Struthio camelus: one gene and its partner. The protein of the gene in region 1 interacts with the protein of each later gene in a biochemical or structural test. Links are inferred from orthologs where the notes say so. Each region holds a gene or a part of one and is shown on either strand. Other genes may lie near its edges.

Region 1 (7,710 bases):
TACCCTTTGTGCTGGGCACAATATTGATTATTCAGGGTATTTATTTATCGTCATATGAAGTCTGTGTTGTAAAAATCTTCAGTGTTGAAAGGTGAACAGTCATTGGCTGTGTTTGCTAAAGGGAGTATAGTCTGTGCAGTGCCAGTCTGCTGTGAGGTGCACGGTGTGCATGCAAATAATAAATATGAGACAACAGTTGCCTGTTATAAGCTTTTATGGCTATGTTTATTCTGAATGGTTGTGTAGAATATCCTGTATAATCTTCAAGAAAGCATTGTATGTGCCAGAATAGTGTAATTTCATACACTTCTAATCAGCATCTTCTAGTTTACTTTTGACATCTTGAATAGCTGACTTGCGTTAAATGGCTGAGTAATGCAGACATAAGGGTAATAATCTTATTAGCAAAGTCAACAGTGTCCATGTTCCGGACTACTGAATATGTCTGAGTCCTGAAGGTAAACGAGTTGCCTCATAAGCTTAGTTGATGGGGTTGGAGCAGCCAAACCTGGGCTGCTGCCCAGTCTCATTTACAGTGTACTTGTTCTAGAGAAGCAGTTCAATACCTGAATGACTACTGGTGGGTTTTTTTTTTTTTTTCCATACTTAGTTTTGTTTCAAGCATTAAGAGTTAAGTCAATAGCTGGCTACTTTTTATTTATTTTGTTCTGGTGCTAAACTTGCATGTCTGGGTGACAGGAAGGCATCCTGAAATGCGAAATACTATGTATGCCAGGAGATTCCAGACAGGGTGAGAAATACAGTTGCTAAGGGGGAGGAGGGAGCCTCTCATCAGAAAGATGAGGCTGTTTAAAAGAGCCGGGATAACAAACAGGATTTTTTTTCCTACGTAATTTCTTTTTACTATAACGATGGCTCTCAATTTTAAAGTGGACGTAGACAAAACTTCTCTAGGTGTTGTCTCTTAAAACAGTGTTTTTGGCTTCTTTGCTTATATTCCTATAGAAGTTCACATTTTTTCCTGCTCTGTGGTGATAAAGGCATTGGTTACTGTATCCCCTAACCATAGGTTTATGCCCTGTGTAGAGTCTACTTTTCACTTCAGATCTGTAAGTTTAAGGCTCTAGCTGGAAAGCTGCAGTGAATCTTGCAGCAGTGGCTTAGGACTGTACTCCTTCAAGCTGTTTGTTCTTCCTCTCTTTTGGCATCAGCCTCACAGGGATGGTGCATTTATATTAGGAGGAAGTGGAATTGCTGAGATGCAGGCATATGTTCACTTCTGTCATGGAAAGACAAAGGAGCCTAGCAGTCAGCTGGAGCCAGTAAGGGCCTCAACTGGTATTGTTGTTTACTCAGTACACATGGGCATGCGGTGTAAAATTTTTGTGCAGAGTATTAGCTCTCAAGCCTGTGAGCTAGGACTCTTGACCATGTTATAACATCCTGGCATCACAAACACTTTTAGGTTGTGAGCTCCCAAAAGAAGCAGTCTTGACTTTCCTTGTCCGTTCTAACCCCAGCAGATTGTTCCTGTGACAGTTCTTCCCCTTTTTGATTAAAAATACATGAAATTAATCCCTTATTTAACAAGATCTTTTTCTGGGTGAAATTCAAAACGTAACAGCATGAGGAAGCTAAAGGAAGGAGTGGTGGGGGGAGGCAAGAAGGAGGCAAAGAGACTTGGGGGGGGAAGGAAGGAGAGTGACATAGCCACTAAAATGAGCTGGTGTATGCCCATTTGAAGTGCTTGGAAGCTGTGGCTTTAGTGTTAACTAATACAGGCACTTGTTAGCCTCAAGCAATATCTCCAGAAGGTGAGAACCTCTTATTGCAATGAGGTATTGATTCTGGAATCTGGGGAGAGTCACACTGCCAAATCTCAGTCAATTACTTGCGTGGACTCTTCTAAGATGTGCTTACCCTATAATTTCTACCCCTGCTCCTCCAAGCTTCCATTGCCTGTGTAGGGCTTGTACTGAATGCATAAATAACTAATGTGTTTTATTGCAACTACAGTGTCATCTATTTTTATACTCTTTCATATCAGCATTTATACAGTTCCTATAAGCACTATTTTGCTCCAGTAGCATGACACACGATCTCAGAACCTTACCCTTGGGTTTGGGTTGAGCTCACTGTGAGCCAGTCATAAGTGCTGGTCCCTGATGTTGATGGATTTTTTTTTCCCCCTCTTAAAGTCAATATTTAGTTGTTTATCCTGCTCTTGATACTAAAGAAACTCTGTTTTAGGGATTATGCCAGGGTAATGCTGATGCCTGCCAGGATATGCCTGACCTCAGCAAAGCACTCTGGGGATGGAGCTCCTAATGCAGTCAGAGTGCTCTGTGCTATGAGGACTTTGTGCAGAAATATAAAGGAGCACGTGGGCAGAGGAAGAGGGCAAGTACGGATGATTTTCCAGAACCTCACTGGCTTCTTCTGTAGTAAAGGAATTCTGTCTTCAAAAGGTATTGCTCAGTAACCCTTCCTCCATCAGGGAAATCCATTTGCAAGATGCTAAAACTGACAAATAGCCATGGACTGGAACATTAAGGCGAGGGAAACACTGGATGTGTTTTCAAAGCTGTGTAAGCAGCTGTGGTTCATTGATCTGCTTGATGGTGCCGGAGCATCACACAAAGTCAGCGTTTCTCTTATCTCTTTCCCTATCATTTAGCACAAAAGGTCACCTTTGTAACTCCCTAGTTAAGACTCTTCCTCATGACAAGCATCTCGCAAACATGGCTGACAAAATTTTGCCTGCTGTGGAAAAAAGTGTCTTAGCTTTGAGGGACTGTTACATATTCCTCATGTTGGTTCTTGAGCTCTTATTAATCAACGTGATTCAGAGCCTTGTGCCTTTGATATACTTCATTAGGTGGTCTTTCTTCAGTACTGTCCTCTTTAATATATTTTTTAAGAAATGACAGTGTCTGTTTTTATCATCTGCAGCATATTTCAGTGGAGAAATCTCAAAATATTCATGTCGTGGGCCTTAATGCGTAATCTCTGGACTTCATATGGAGTTCCATTGGAAAGTTTACTTGTCTGGTTATGCAGCTTGGAGTCCTGTCTATGACTTGTCTACTTCGAGGAGTTTGCTGACATAATAATATAAGCCTAGAATGATAAATTATAATACATTATTATAGTAAGTATTAAGCTGGCAGTCAAGTCAGTTCTCCTGTGTGTGTCTAAGGTGGCCAAAAACCCTTGTCCGGGTAGATATTGAGGACGTGGCCAGGTTTTACAAACCTTTGATTGTCTTAAAGGAGAAATACTTCTGAGTGGGACGCCACATGGCCAGAAACTGCAGATGAGTGGCACCTCACTTGGGGTTACTGTGCTCTACAATCATGTGCAATAGTATAGACTACTGCTACTTTGTGTCGCAGTACCTACCTGCTACTTTCTGAACACGCATTCCCTACGAGCATGTTTCAGAAGAGCGTTTGCTAAGCGCGCCCAGACCGTCTGTATGCCTCATGCACAGTGGTTCGTGCCTGTAAGCTTTTTTTTTTTAAGCATATGCAAAAATAGTTACATGGCCATAGCACTATTTCCTGTCATCTGCTACTTAAACTTTGAATGTAGTTAGTAAAAGGTGTCCTGATAGGTCTTGGGAAGTGTTTGTTAAGACTGATTTAGGACAGCCTCCTCCTTGCTGGCATACAGAAATGTCCTCCTGAGGGAAGACTGTGGTTACTGTGGAGGACCAGTCTCTCCCTAAGTGCATATTGCACTAGGCCTGCACAGAGAGCTCACTGGAGGAGTAATTGGTGGAATAACTACGTTATTGTTGTCTTAGACTATAAAGGGCCGTGACTTTTTTTTTGTTGTTTGTTGAAAATCGATCATGGAGGAGACATTATCACCAGGCCAACTTTTGAATCTAGCCTTCTGACTGCAAATCTAAAAAGAGAGGAGAGCACCGAAAAGAAGAAGCAGTAGCCTGGGCACAACATAAAATTGTCTGACAAAAATTAAGCAGTACTATTAAGAATATAACTTTCAAGAGGGTGTATAAACACAATCCGTCGCTGCTTGCGGCGGGAACGGCAGCTTGTTTCTGTTAGGAAGCCGTGTCGGTAACGAAAGACTGTACGCGGAGTCTTGCTGCGACCGTTACCAGCAGCGCTGCGCGCTCTTGCGCCGGCTCGGCCGGGGAAGCCGGTTCAGGCCGCCCTCACCAGGCGTTAAGGGCTCCGCAGGCCCCGCGCGCCGCCGCGTGCGCACGCGCGGAGCTCGGCCCCCAACGGACGCAGGAGCTGGTGCGCATGCGCTCGGCACCCTTCCTGGTGCGGGCCCGCGTTTCCAGCCTCCCTTTCCTGCGCGTGCGCGGGGCCGGGCGCCGCTCGCCCGCCGCCCGTGCGCCGTGACGCCGGGCCGCGATGACGTGCGGCGCGGTCTGCCCCCGCGGCGGCGCCGGGCGGCGCGGCCTGCGTCACGGGTTTCGGCGGAGGGGGAGGCGGAGCTTTCGGTGGGCAGCAGGAGCGGCGGCGGCCGCGGGCGCCTCACGCCTGCAGGGACCCCCGCGGCGGCGGCGGTCGCGCCAGCGGCGGAGGGCGCCCCCCCCCCTCCACCCGCCTCCCGGCGCCGCTCGGTGCTCGCCTCCGTGCGCTGCCGGGCTCGGTGCGCGCCGTCACCCCCCGCCGTGCCCTCGCGCGGGCAGGCCCGGGCCCCTTCCCCCGCCGGGGGGTGGGCTCCGCTCCGGAAACCTGGCCGCTCCTTCCCGGCGCTGCGCCGGCCGCCGCCGGGCCCGCGGCCACCCCCGCTGCCGCCCGGCCTCCGCTGTGACACAGGTCGGTGCCTGGGGGGAGGGGGGGGGGGCGCGGGCGGCTCGGGGCGGCCCGAGGGGGAGCGGGCCCGGCGGCGCGGCCGGCCGCGGGGAGGCCGCCGGGAGGCGGCTCCAGCGCCCGGGAGGTGCCCGGCGGGCTGGCACAGGCCGCACCGAGGAGCGGCAGCGGAGTCCCCGCCCGCGCAGGTGGAGGACCGGGTACAGGTCCGAGGTGTCGGGGAGGGTGGACGCGTTAGAGGTATTTACGCTCCGACTGCCGGATCTTAAGGGTTTTATGAGCTGTATAAATATTTATAGGTGACCATAAGCGTCCCTGTAATCGCGCGCCGATACTGTGGGCTCTTAAATTGTTCCGCAGCGAGAGCGGTGCCGTGAGTTGGGTATGTGGGTCAGATGCTGCGCGGTGATTTTGTCGGGGGGAAAAGTGAACGTTAGGTGGCTCTTCCCTCCCCGCTTGTGAGGCGCCGCAGTACCCACGCGATTCTTCCCTGGCTTCCTCTCTTTCCTCGTTAGTATGGTTTTAATGGTTGGTTGTGGAACTATTGAAGATGAAAGCGTTAAATAAGCTGAATGTTTCTGGGCTATATGGTATCACTGAAATGTTCCTTGAAAGGATGGTAAAAGATAATGGAAGCCTGCCTTGAAGGAAGAGGGGTTTTATTGCATGCAGAAAACCTTTTTGAACTGTGAGATTTTTTTTCTTTAAACAGTGCAGCATGTTGCAGAGTACAAGAGGCCTTCCAAAATGTGTTCTTATGTATGTGGCAAAGGCTTAGTATTTGCAGAACGAATGTCTACATGCTTCTCTTGCAAAACATCTTGGAGTCCCTTGTGGCGTAGCACTTATTAGCAGAATACCCTAGAAAGTGTGCTTTCTCTTTCTTATGGGTTTCCTTTATGGATAGCTTTAAGGGAACAGGGAGTGATGAGTTAGTATATACGCTACATTGCAAAACTGAAAAGAATTTTCTTGTAATTTTTTTCCTGCTCTGAGATTAAATCCTTCACTGCCATTTGAAAATAACAGAAATACTGTAAGAGAAATTTTACTTTGATGTGTTATTTGTATTTGATGATGATGTTTTTTAAATAGCTCTTTCCTCCAAAATACAGTTACATTCATAAAAGAGAACTCATGATTCTTGCACTTTGTCTTATGACATAGTTGTTATTGAAACGTGTCGAACCTGATTATTGATTCAGGTAATGATGCTGTATGTAGTTCACTTGATTTTTTTTCAAAGAGTTTATTGTATTTTGATGAAGCAAAATAGTAAACTAGTATTTGTCATGCTGATTCTGCTGGAAAAAAATCTGAGTGCAGTCTGTCTTGATAAACTCAGTGTCAGTGGTTTGCATGGCACTAATGGAAGACTATGGTAAAGAAAACCTGTTTTTTGGATAGCCTGCTGAAATTTCTGAACTGTCAGAGGAAACTTTTTCTAAGATAGCTGTTGCAGTTGAGAACCTTGAGAGCTTGTATGGTATGTGTGAATAGGTAGATGTCTGCACAGGTAGGGAGAAATATGTAAAAATTTCCAACCTGTAGCATAACAGGAGTGTTGTTTTTTTCTCTGATGTTTAAAACTCTGGTTAGAGGAGAGCATACATAAACATATTTTTTCAGCTTTATGTTGATAAACCTCTAGATACTTTATGGTAAAAGTATCACATTTCACGTTTGGTCATAGTTTTGTCATTGGTTCTTTCATATCAGTCTTAGGAAAGATGGAAAATGTGTGGACTTACAGAATTTAAAGCTGATTGAGGTTAGATACAAAAGCCCGGTTTGTTTTATTGTAAGGATATAGTTTTCTTTTGGAGAAGGCAAGAAAATTAGTCATGTTATAAATCTAATTCAGATATGTAATTTAGGTTTTGTATTTTTTTCTTATTTTTTCCTCAATTGCTGTTGATATTTAGGTATAAGTTAGATTTAAAAAAAAAACAAACTTATCATTTATTGATAAAGGTTTATGGAGAATTTCTTGAAAAAGCTTTGTATAGTAGCAACGTAAGTTTCAGTTGCTAATTCTTTTTCATGTATATTATCTTCACTGCAGGCTGACTTTTTATATTACAAACTAAGTCAAAAGTAATGAATAACATGTAATTTATTGTTGTGACAGATTGTTCAGTGACTCTCTAACTGGAGCAGTCTTTGGACTGAGAGTAATGTCTGCTTGTAAAATACATCATGAGAGCAATAATGGAGTGACTTCTTCCATTAATTCACCCTCTCTCACCAAACACATAGCCAAAGGTGTTCTGATCTGTCAAGGTATGCGTAGTTTGTGTGGAGTAAAGACCAGACTTTGTTACAATTTCTTTTCAAATCTTTGCAGTTAATGCTATGCTCTTTATGTAGACTAGTATTTGGGAAAAAATCAGTAATGGAAATTGGTGTACCTGATCAGTGCAATTAATTACATCTTGTTACCTTTTGTAGAACTTGTTTTCATATATGTGATGAGCTAATGTAAATATGTATATAGACTAGTGACTCTACCTGGGCTTATCTAGTTAGCCAGTAGTTGCTTGCTGTCCTGAAAGCTTAATTTCTAAATTTTAACTTTTAATATTCTGAAAGAAGAACCCACAGGCTATTACCAAAAAAAAAAAAAACAACCCTCAAAGAGTTCTACTGATAACACTAATTTCTCTGTGGGGAAGGAGGGTTTGTTTTTAATGATAAGCACTGAATTTCCAATTATAAGATGCTGGAGTATTGTAGTGTTACAGAATAGGTCAAAGTAGGTCATGTATGTTATAATTGCATATAACTTGCAAAAAAGTATTGCAGGCATCATATAATTGGGCAGTGGGAAAGCATTCAGAATGTAGTGTGCTAGTTGTAATTCTTACTTCTGGGCCCTAGCATGAGATCTTGACTTAGTAATGTATTGATGAGGGTAGATGTAACTTATGGCTGTATGTTAACCTAATTTCTT
Region 2 (7,234 bases), on another chromosome or scaffold:
CTCAACATCTTTATCAATGTCCTGCAGAAGGGGGGGGGGGGGGGGAAGTGAAACTCCCTATATTACAGATTAAATTAAGCTTTCCTTACAGAACTCAACCCCCTGTTATGTAAATCTGCATTAGAGCTGAACTGCCACTGAATCCACCTTAAGAGGTACTAAAGCATGGAGAAAAGTTATATAGAGCATCTTTGGTTAATAGAAGAGGGAAAATCTTTTAAGTTGCTTTCCCCAATGAGTTTGTTGGGGAGAGATGCTGGCCATCCAGATCTTGCCATAACTCCACAAAAGCACAAACAGCAGGATTTCAGCAAATTTGGAGTACTCCTCCTAGTACTATAGATACCTCTTTACAAAGGGGGTAAGATGATGCAACACAATCTCATGTCTTCTCTCAGGACGTTTACTCCATGGAAACGCAAACTGCCAACTACAAACACTGTTGTTCTTTATCAAAAATTATATTTCTGATCAAACCTTGACTACGTGTCGTACTTCAGGACAGTACATTTTTGAATTGCTAATGGGATATAATTCAAAACAACTACACTACCTGCTATCATTATTAAATCAGTTATAGCAGATAATTTTTGCCGTCTATAAAAAACCTACCATGAACACATTCATCAGAAAACACAGAATTATCTCCAAAGTAAGAAAGCACAAAAGGAGAGACAGTTACCAAAATCCACCATCTGGTCTACATACCTTAGCAACAACGAGCAAAAGCTTTAACTGATGCCAACAGCGCAATGAGGAAGGGATGTTAGAATTTCTATAAGTAGATGTACTAACTATGTATAGAAACACTTTAAATTCACAGTAATTCACTTTACTTTAGATATGGCTGCACAGAGGACTACTGTGTTAGCCAAGCATCTCTTGAGTCACAGCAGCAAAGTCTGCCACCAAGCAGCCTTCCTTACCCTGCTTCAAGATCTCAAACCCACACTGGAAGGACTCAACCAAGGTTAAGTCAGCAGTAAAGCAAGTTTGTGACCCCAAATCCAGTCTAGACCACTCTGCTTCTCAGCACGCAATCCAGAAATAAAAGATTCTGCACATCATAACCAATCTTCTTGCGTCTCACACAGCCAAAAGCTGCATCCTACTACACTTGGTAATAGAAACTGGGAGACAGAAATCAGCGCAGAATTGCATTTTGTAATAGAAAACCTCAAATACTAGCATCTAATAAGGCTGCTAAAACACTAGAACAATTTCAAGCACAAGACCAGTTTGGCTTGGTTTTGCATTTATGTTCCTGTACTGCCACCTGCTGCCACTTCAGCAGGTATAGTTCTCTAAATTTATGTTAAGAGTTTAAAAAAACAAAACAAAACAAAACCCTATGTGTGGATCTACACATTTCATTCATTCTGCAATGGAAGCTAGTCTGGTGAAAAAAATTTATTTCCTTAATTTAACTTTTAATTTGATATCATTATTAAAAAAGGACAAACTTTCAAATGCATAACCTTTCACAACCTATCAGTTGGTAAAACTACTATGTCTCCCAACAAACCTTGCCCTGGTTATATTTCTTATAATGCAACTACCATTCTCATTCCAGCTTTTGCTGCACCCATGCTGCCCTCTACAATCTCTCACTAGTTGAAGCTGAAAGGGAACAGCCAGTCACCACCACCAGAGCCCTCTGAAGTCGAGAGTCAGACTTCTAAGATATAGGATTAGCTAAAGATCTTTTTTGTTGTTACTTTTTACCTGCTGAAGTTAGATGCAAGTGTGACCTGGCATACGCTGTCAAACTCCTCCCAGAGAAAATAAGGTTCGAAAATAAGCATTATTTCTTTAAATAGAAGCCGAGAACCCCTGTAAGGATATGACACTAGGCTCTGGTGGGAATATAAAAATAATCCCAAATTCTGCTGCAAACCGGGCTATGACAATCAATCCTGCTAGAAAATTAGTTAAAGGTGGAAAATAGACACTCATGGGTTTGAGGATTTTTTTTTTTTTTAATAAACACAGAAAGCTACTTTGGGTTTCTCCACTTTCACTTGTTCGGATTTGGGGGAAGAACAAAGGTGTTTATTCGATGCGGGTCGCGAAACCGTGTGGTTCCTTACAACGCATCAGCACACCCCGCCGGCAGGAAACTCGACCACCTCCCACAGCGCACCTCCTTCAGGGGCAGCGCCTGCTCTCGGCTGCGGGTGGCTTTAATCTGCGCCCCTTCTCTCCCCCCGCCCCCAAAACGGGGGGCGGGGGGGGGGCCTGCAGGCACCGCACCGCTGCACAGCTCCGGCTGGCTAACAACGCTGCTTCTTCCTCAGAAACGCTGCCGGTGCCTAACTCGTGGTCGCCATCGCTACAGGCGGCCAGGACAGGGAGGGGGTGGAGGGGCGGGAGGGTTACCCGCGCCGCCACACGGCTGGGGCGCTCGCCACCCTCGCGGCCTGACCCGGGCCGCAGCGGGCCGCTTCAAACGGGGCCGGCGCAGCCAGCAGGCGCCCCGCAGCGGCGGTGCGTTTCCGCCGTGAGCCGTCGGCCCGGCCGTCCCGAGCACCGCTGCCCGCAGCGCCGACCCGGACCCGCCGCCCAAACGCCGCTGGGCGGCTGCCGTTTCCACCAGGTTTACGGACTCGGCCACAACAAGCGGGCACCTCCCGTCACCAGCGCGGAAACGCCGGCGTGCGGCCGCCTCACGCAGCGGCGGCTCTCCCCCAGCACGGGGCGGGGTCCAGGGGAACAGGAAACGGCGGAGTTGCACGCGGCGTCCGTTAGCCCGGCCGCAGCCGCTCAGCCGCCTGCCCCCGGTGCCCGGCGGAAGGGGCGGCGCGGCGCCCTCCCCGGGGAGAAGCGGCCGCCGCACCCCGGCCCCGACCCCGACCGGTACCTGCGCAGGCAGCGCTCGCAGATGCCGCCCAGCTGCTCCTTGGTGACGACGTAGGCGAAGGGCTCGGCCCGGTAGAGCAGCTCTCCGGGCCGCACCCGCCTGAGGCAGCGGAGGCCGCTGCCCTTGCCCGGGCTCGGGAACTTCTCCAGCGCCGCCGTCTCCATCGCGCCTCCCTCCCTCCCGCGCTGCCGCCGAGCGGCGCCGCGGCCGTTTCCCGCCCGCCGCCACGTGACGCGGCGCCGCCGCCGCCATCTTAGCGCAAGGCAGAGCCGCGGCGCCCCGCACTAGGGTGGGGGCCTGCGGCCCTGGCCGGAGCGAGGAGCTCGCTAACTGCAGCGGCGGTGGGCAGTTACAGGTAGGGAGGATGCTGATTTTTCTCCAGTTCTTTTCAAAGAGCGTGTGAGAGAGAACATTTCTGGTCATCAATCCTGTTAAAAAAACAGATGGGAAATTCTACAAAATGGCCTTTGGCACTTAAATCTTACGCCTTCAACAGCCCGACTTCAGAAAGAACTTCAAGTGATAATAAAGTTTAAAGTGCCGCGCTGGCCATATTCAGCACTATTTTTGCTTCATTTTAGTGGTCACCCAGCCTTAACAAGTGACACAGAGGTGGAAACAAATTACAATAGTAAAAATGACATGAGCGTAGACAGAGTGGGAACTCTACAATTTTATACAGAGTAGAAGTAATGAAATGACCTGGTTGGGCACCTCCCAGGGCCGTGGGGCAGCGATCTCCAGTTGGGGCCCAGTTGCAGCCTAGTTGCCAGGCCAGCAAAGGGGGAGCCTGCCAGGAGGGTCGCGGGGAACTGAAGCGCTCCTCTGTTTTGTCCTCCATGTGCTTGAACGTAGTCAGGTCGTTGCATCTTTCAGTGCACTGCGTAGGAAAAATTGTACGCGTTTTGTGGCGCCCCTTCAAGGTTTGCTAGTGACACGCTTCTTCACAAAGATTGCATTCAAACAGCCTAGGGAAGTCAGATCCCCTAGGCAGGGGCTTCACCAGATATACACCCACTCGCTGTAGAAGACTAGGTGCTTTTCCGTTCATTGGCTGCGCGTTACTTGGCGTAACTGAAGTATTGAACAGCTGGCTCACAAAGGAACAGTTAGGGCAATGATTCTGCCAAATACCCTCACAAAACAGGACATTTGCCTTATGAGTTGGCTTCTGGATCCATTTGTGGATATCGCTGTGCTCTGATTATAAGCAAGCAGTGCTAGATATGGCCCTGTGCTGTGTTCTAGCTCCTTCGGGTTATCTGGGGAGCAAGTGCTGCACACCACCTGCATTCCGGAAGTCATTTGGACCCATCTGTAACAGATGCCAAATAAGTGAGATGGGAAAAGCAAAACACAACTAACTAAGAGCACCTCTCTGAAATGGCCAAAGCACAGGAGATGCTGAGTGCTTCCTGTCTGATTCTTCCTAGCTTTCATTCATTTAAGAGATCGCGTATGTCATGGGGGTTGAATGCTCTCAACGGGTGGATAGGCTTAGTCTGATTTTCCTTATAATGCCAATAGAGGGAGTACGGGCACATTGCAAGACAGATGTAGAAGTCCTGCAGAGCAGCTTACAATGTAAGCTAAAACACACTCAGTTCTGTTCTCAGGAACAATTATTTTAATCTACAACTGCTTTCCTTCAGCTGTAGTAGGGTAGTCAAAAGTGAAAATATGCACATCGAAAATACTGCTGGGAAGACTACTACCATTGGGAAAAACCAAGGTAGATGAAGCCACTGGATTCTCACAGAATAATATATTTAGACATTTTCTGAAATGCTGCAGTGATGTAATTCATTAACAAAAGAACTGAGAACAATCTAGCTTTCTGTTAAATAGTTAAGTGGACTACTATGCTTAACTGTAATCCTCCAAGCAGACTTGTCAGAAAACATAGCATTTGACTACAATGATCCTGTGAGACACGTGACATTTATCCCTAATAGACTAAAATATTAAACCACCACTTCTATATTCAGCTTATATGCTATACTCCTTCCCCTGTTAGGTCTCCTGTCTTGCAGCGTATGCTGTTTTGTGGTCACAGAGTTTCTAAAGATACATTGCCGGAATCCCATAACGTAATAATAACAAGAGTTAATGGCTACCTCTTGGGTGGTCAAACAATATATGCAGAAAATGTAAGTAGAAACATATACATATGCCAAAAACAGAAAGTCCTACATAAGAACTGCAGAAAGGGCACTCAGGACAGGGCTAATACAAATACACTATGCAGGATGTAGATTTCATTATTTTCCCAATTTTCTAAGAAAATTCCAGTTTTCTCACTTCATGTGTCCAATAGAGAAACAAAATCCCACAAAGTAAAAAAAATGGGTCTAAGGAAATAAAGCCCTTCTTTCACCAAAAAAAAAAAAAAATTGCAACCTTAGCCAGGACAGCTATTCTGCCAAAAACCCAAGCGTAAAAGCAGCTGTCCCTAAAGAAGGGGGCTTTCATCAGCTCTGCCTAAGCTGGACAGTAATATAAACTACAGCAGGCAAAGAACTTTTGGCTGATGTTGATAAGACCCTATAATTATAGTAATAGAGGGTTTTCTAGTATAGATAAGTTCTGAAGCAGAGCATAAATGTTTTCGCTGATGCAGTGTTGGATATTTCAACATCTGTAAGAAGAGGCTTGAAAGCTATCTCTTGATATCTACATCTACGGTTTATAGACTAGTTTCTTTAGGTCAAGCCATGCAACATCCTCTCTGAGCAATGGAGAACAACTGAATGCCTCACCAAGGCAATTTGGGAAACATCAGTCTGAATTTTCTAAAAAGCAGCAAGCCGTAGTGATATGATGTCTATAAATGTTCACTAATATGGCCCAATAAATGTTCAATTGGCACTTGAGCGTATTTAGTTTCATTAATCCTTGCTATTATTACGGGGTTTTAAATGATCGAGTCAGCCACTGACCTAAACAGGTCAGACTTCCTGATGCTTACTGGAGCATGCATGACATCATTCCGCGCACAGACAGCTGTCAGGGCATGTAATGGAGGCATTTTTGTGGGAATTATCACTTAATTGCAGCTGATGCTGCTGAATTAGTCATATTTCCTTGTTGCCTCTAGATGAGACATTGTAAAGTTTAGCTCTTCTATCTCAAGACAGTTGTGTTCCACAACATGAATTTTAAAAAGGAATTGCGGTAATGAAATAACCCACACACCTATACAAATTCTGCTCTTTAGCCATAAATGTCCAATACTCATTCCAGCCAGCAGGACATAGAAATGAATTTTTTGGGGACAAAACATGGATCTAATTACAAAATTTAAGGTTTCGAACTTATACAAAACCTGTATCACTAAAGATATTGGGTACGTATCAAATAGCTTTGGTTGAAAGCTTATAAGCACAGATGGATCTTTTATGAATTCGTAAGAGTCTCTTCAACATGGTGAGCTAATTAAAAATTAATGATTCCTAGATGTAAAAGAAGAAAAAAAAGCAAAAGCATTTTGAGCACAAATTCATAATAAATTTCATACACAGACAGATTTTACCTATTGGGCTTTTTTTTTTTTTACTATGAGCTTTATAAAAACTTTCTAGTTTTTATAACTTTCTTGACTGCTCCCTGCCTCAAACATATACATTTTCTTCAGATGGCATGAACAAGCTTTTGAAGCTGAGGTCAGCATAATTTCTTAACTGAAGGACAAGAATTGTAAGTGTACTTTATATGAAAATAATGCCTGAGACATAATTACACAAAAATGATAATCTCACATCTTTACAGGGAAGCATGAATCAAATAGTTAATTTTTTTTTCCTACAGACAATTTCTCACAGGAAGCATTGAATGTTATTAGCAAAGACTTCCAAAAAACTTACACCCATAGTGCACTATGCATTTATTTCCTGCTTTTCTTTAGAAGCCGAGTTTTCAATTTAAGCAGCGCTTTTACACATGGGTAAACATTCCTGAGTCAATCTGTAGAGTGCATGCATAAAAATCAAGCAAAATCATTGCCGACTCAGTTTGGCTGATGGCTTCTCTTAAGGTTCAGAATGGGATTCTGTGGCAAAGAAATAAAAGCCGTTGTATATGTCTACTACGCTCTGCAGCTGAAAATATGGGAGCAGCAAAGGGTTGTGATGACATCAGACTTATCTGCAATCACTATAAAAATAAGATCCCATAAACCAAGAGACGAGGACAAGAACAATCCTGTAGAAAAATGTGAAGAGCAGCCATCCTGCAAGGAAAACTTATGACTTATTCAAATGTACGAATCATGCCAAACTCTATACAAACATAAAGTTTTATGTAAATAGGTAGAGCTGTTGGTCTGTTTGGTGTCTTATGAATGGGAACAACTACATAAAGTGTTAAAAGTCTTGC

What was found. The genes of interacting proteins can lie anywhere in the genome.
Region 2: the proteins of MAP3K2 (region 1) and SMYD3 are reported together in a solved structure, tested with the Homo sapiens proteins (2 studies listed by BioGRID and IntAct, with this or other methods). The link is inferred for Struthio camelus from reciprocal best matches to the Homo sapiens genes MAP3K2 and SMYD3.

The regions. Positions count from the first base shown.
Region 1 is NC_090947.1:29,829,790-29,837,499, forward strand, and holds the start of MAP3K2 (mitogen-activated protein kinase kinase kinase 2), read left to right. Parts: upstream 1-4,627; 5' UTR 4,628-4,763; intron 4,764-4,901; exon of another isoform or gene 4,902-4,997; intron 4,998-7,710. UniProt on the Homo sapiens protein: Component of a protein kinase signal transduction cascade. Regulates the JNK and ERK5 pathways by phosphorylating and activating MAP2K5 and MAP2K7. Plays a role in caveolae kiss-and-run dynamics.
Region 2 is NC_090944.1:100,072,753-100,079,986, forward strand, and holds the start of SMYD3 (histone-lysine N-methyltransferase SMYD3), read right to left. Parts: upstream 3,092-7,234; 5' UTR 3,025-3,091; coding exon 2,861-3,024; intron 1-2,860. UniProt on the Homo sapiens protein: Histone methyltransferase. Specifically methylates 'Lys-4' of histone H3, inducing di- and tri-methylation, but not monomethylation. Also methylates 'Lys-5' of histone H4.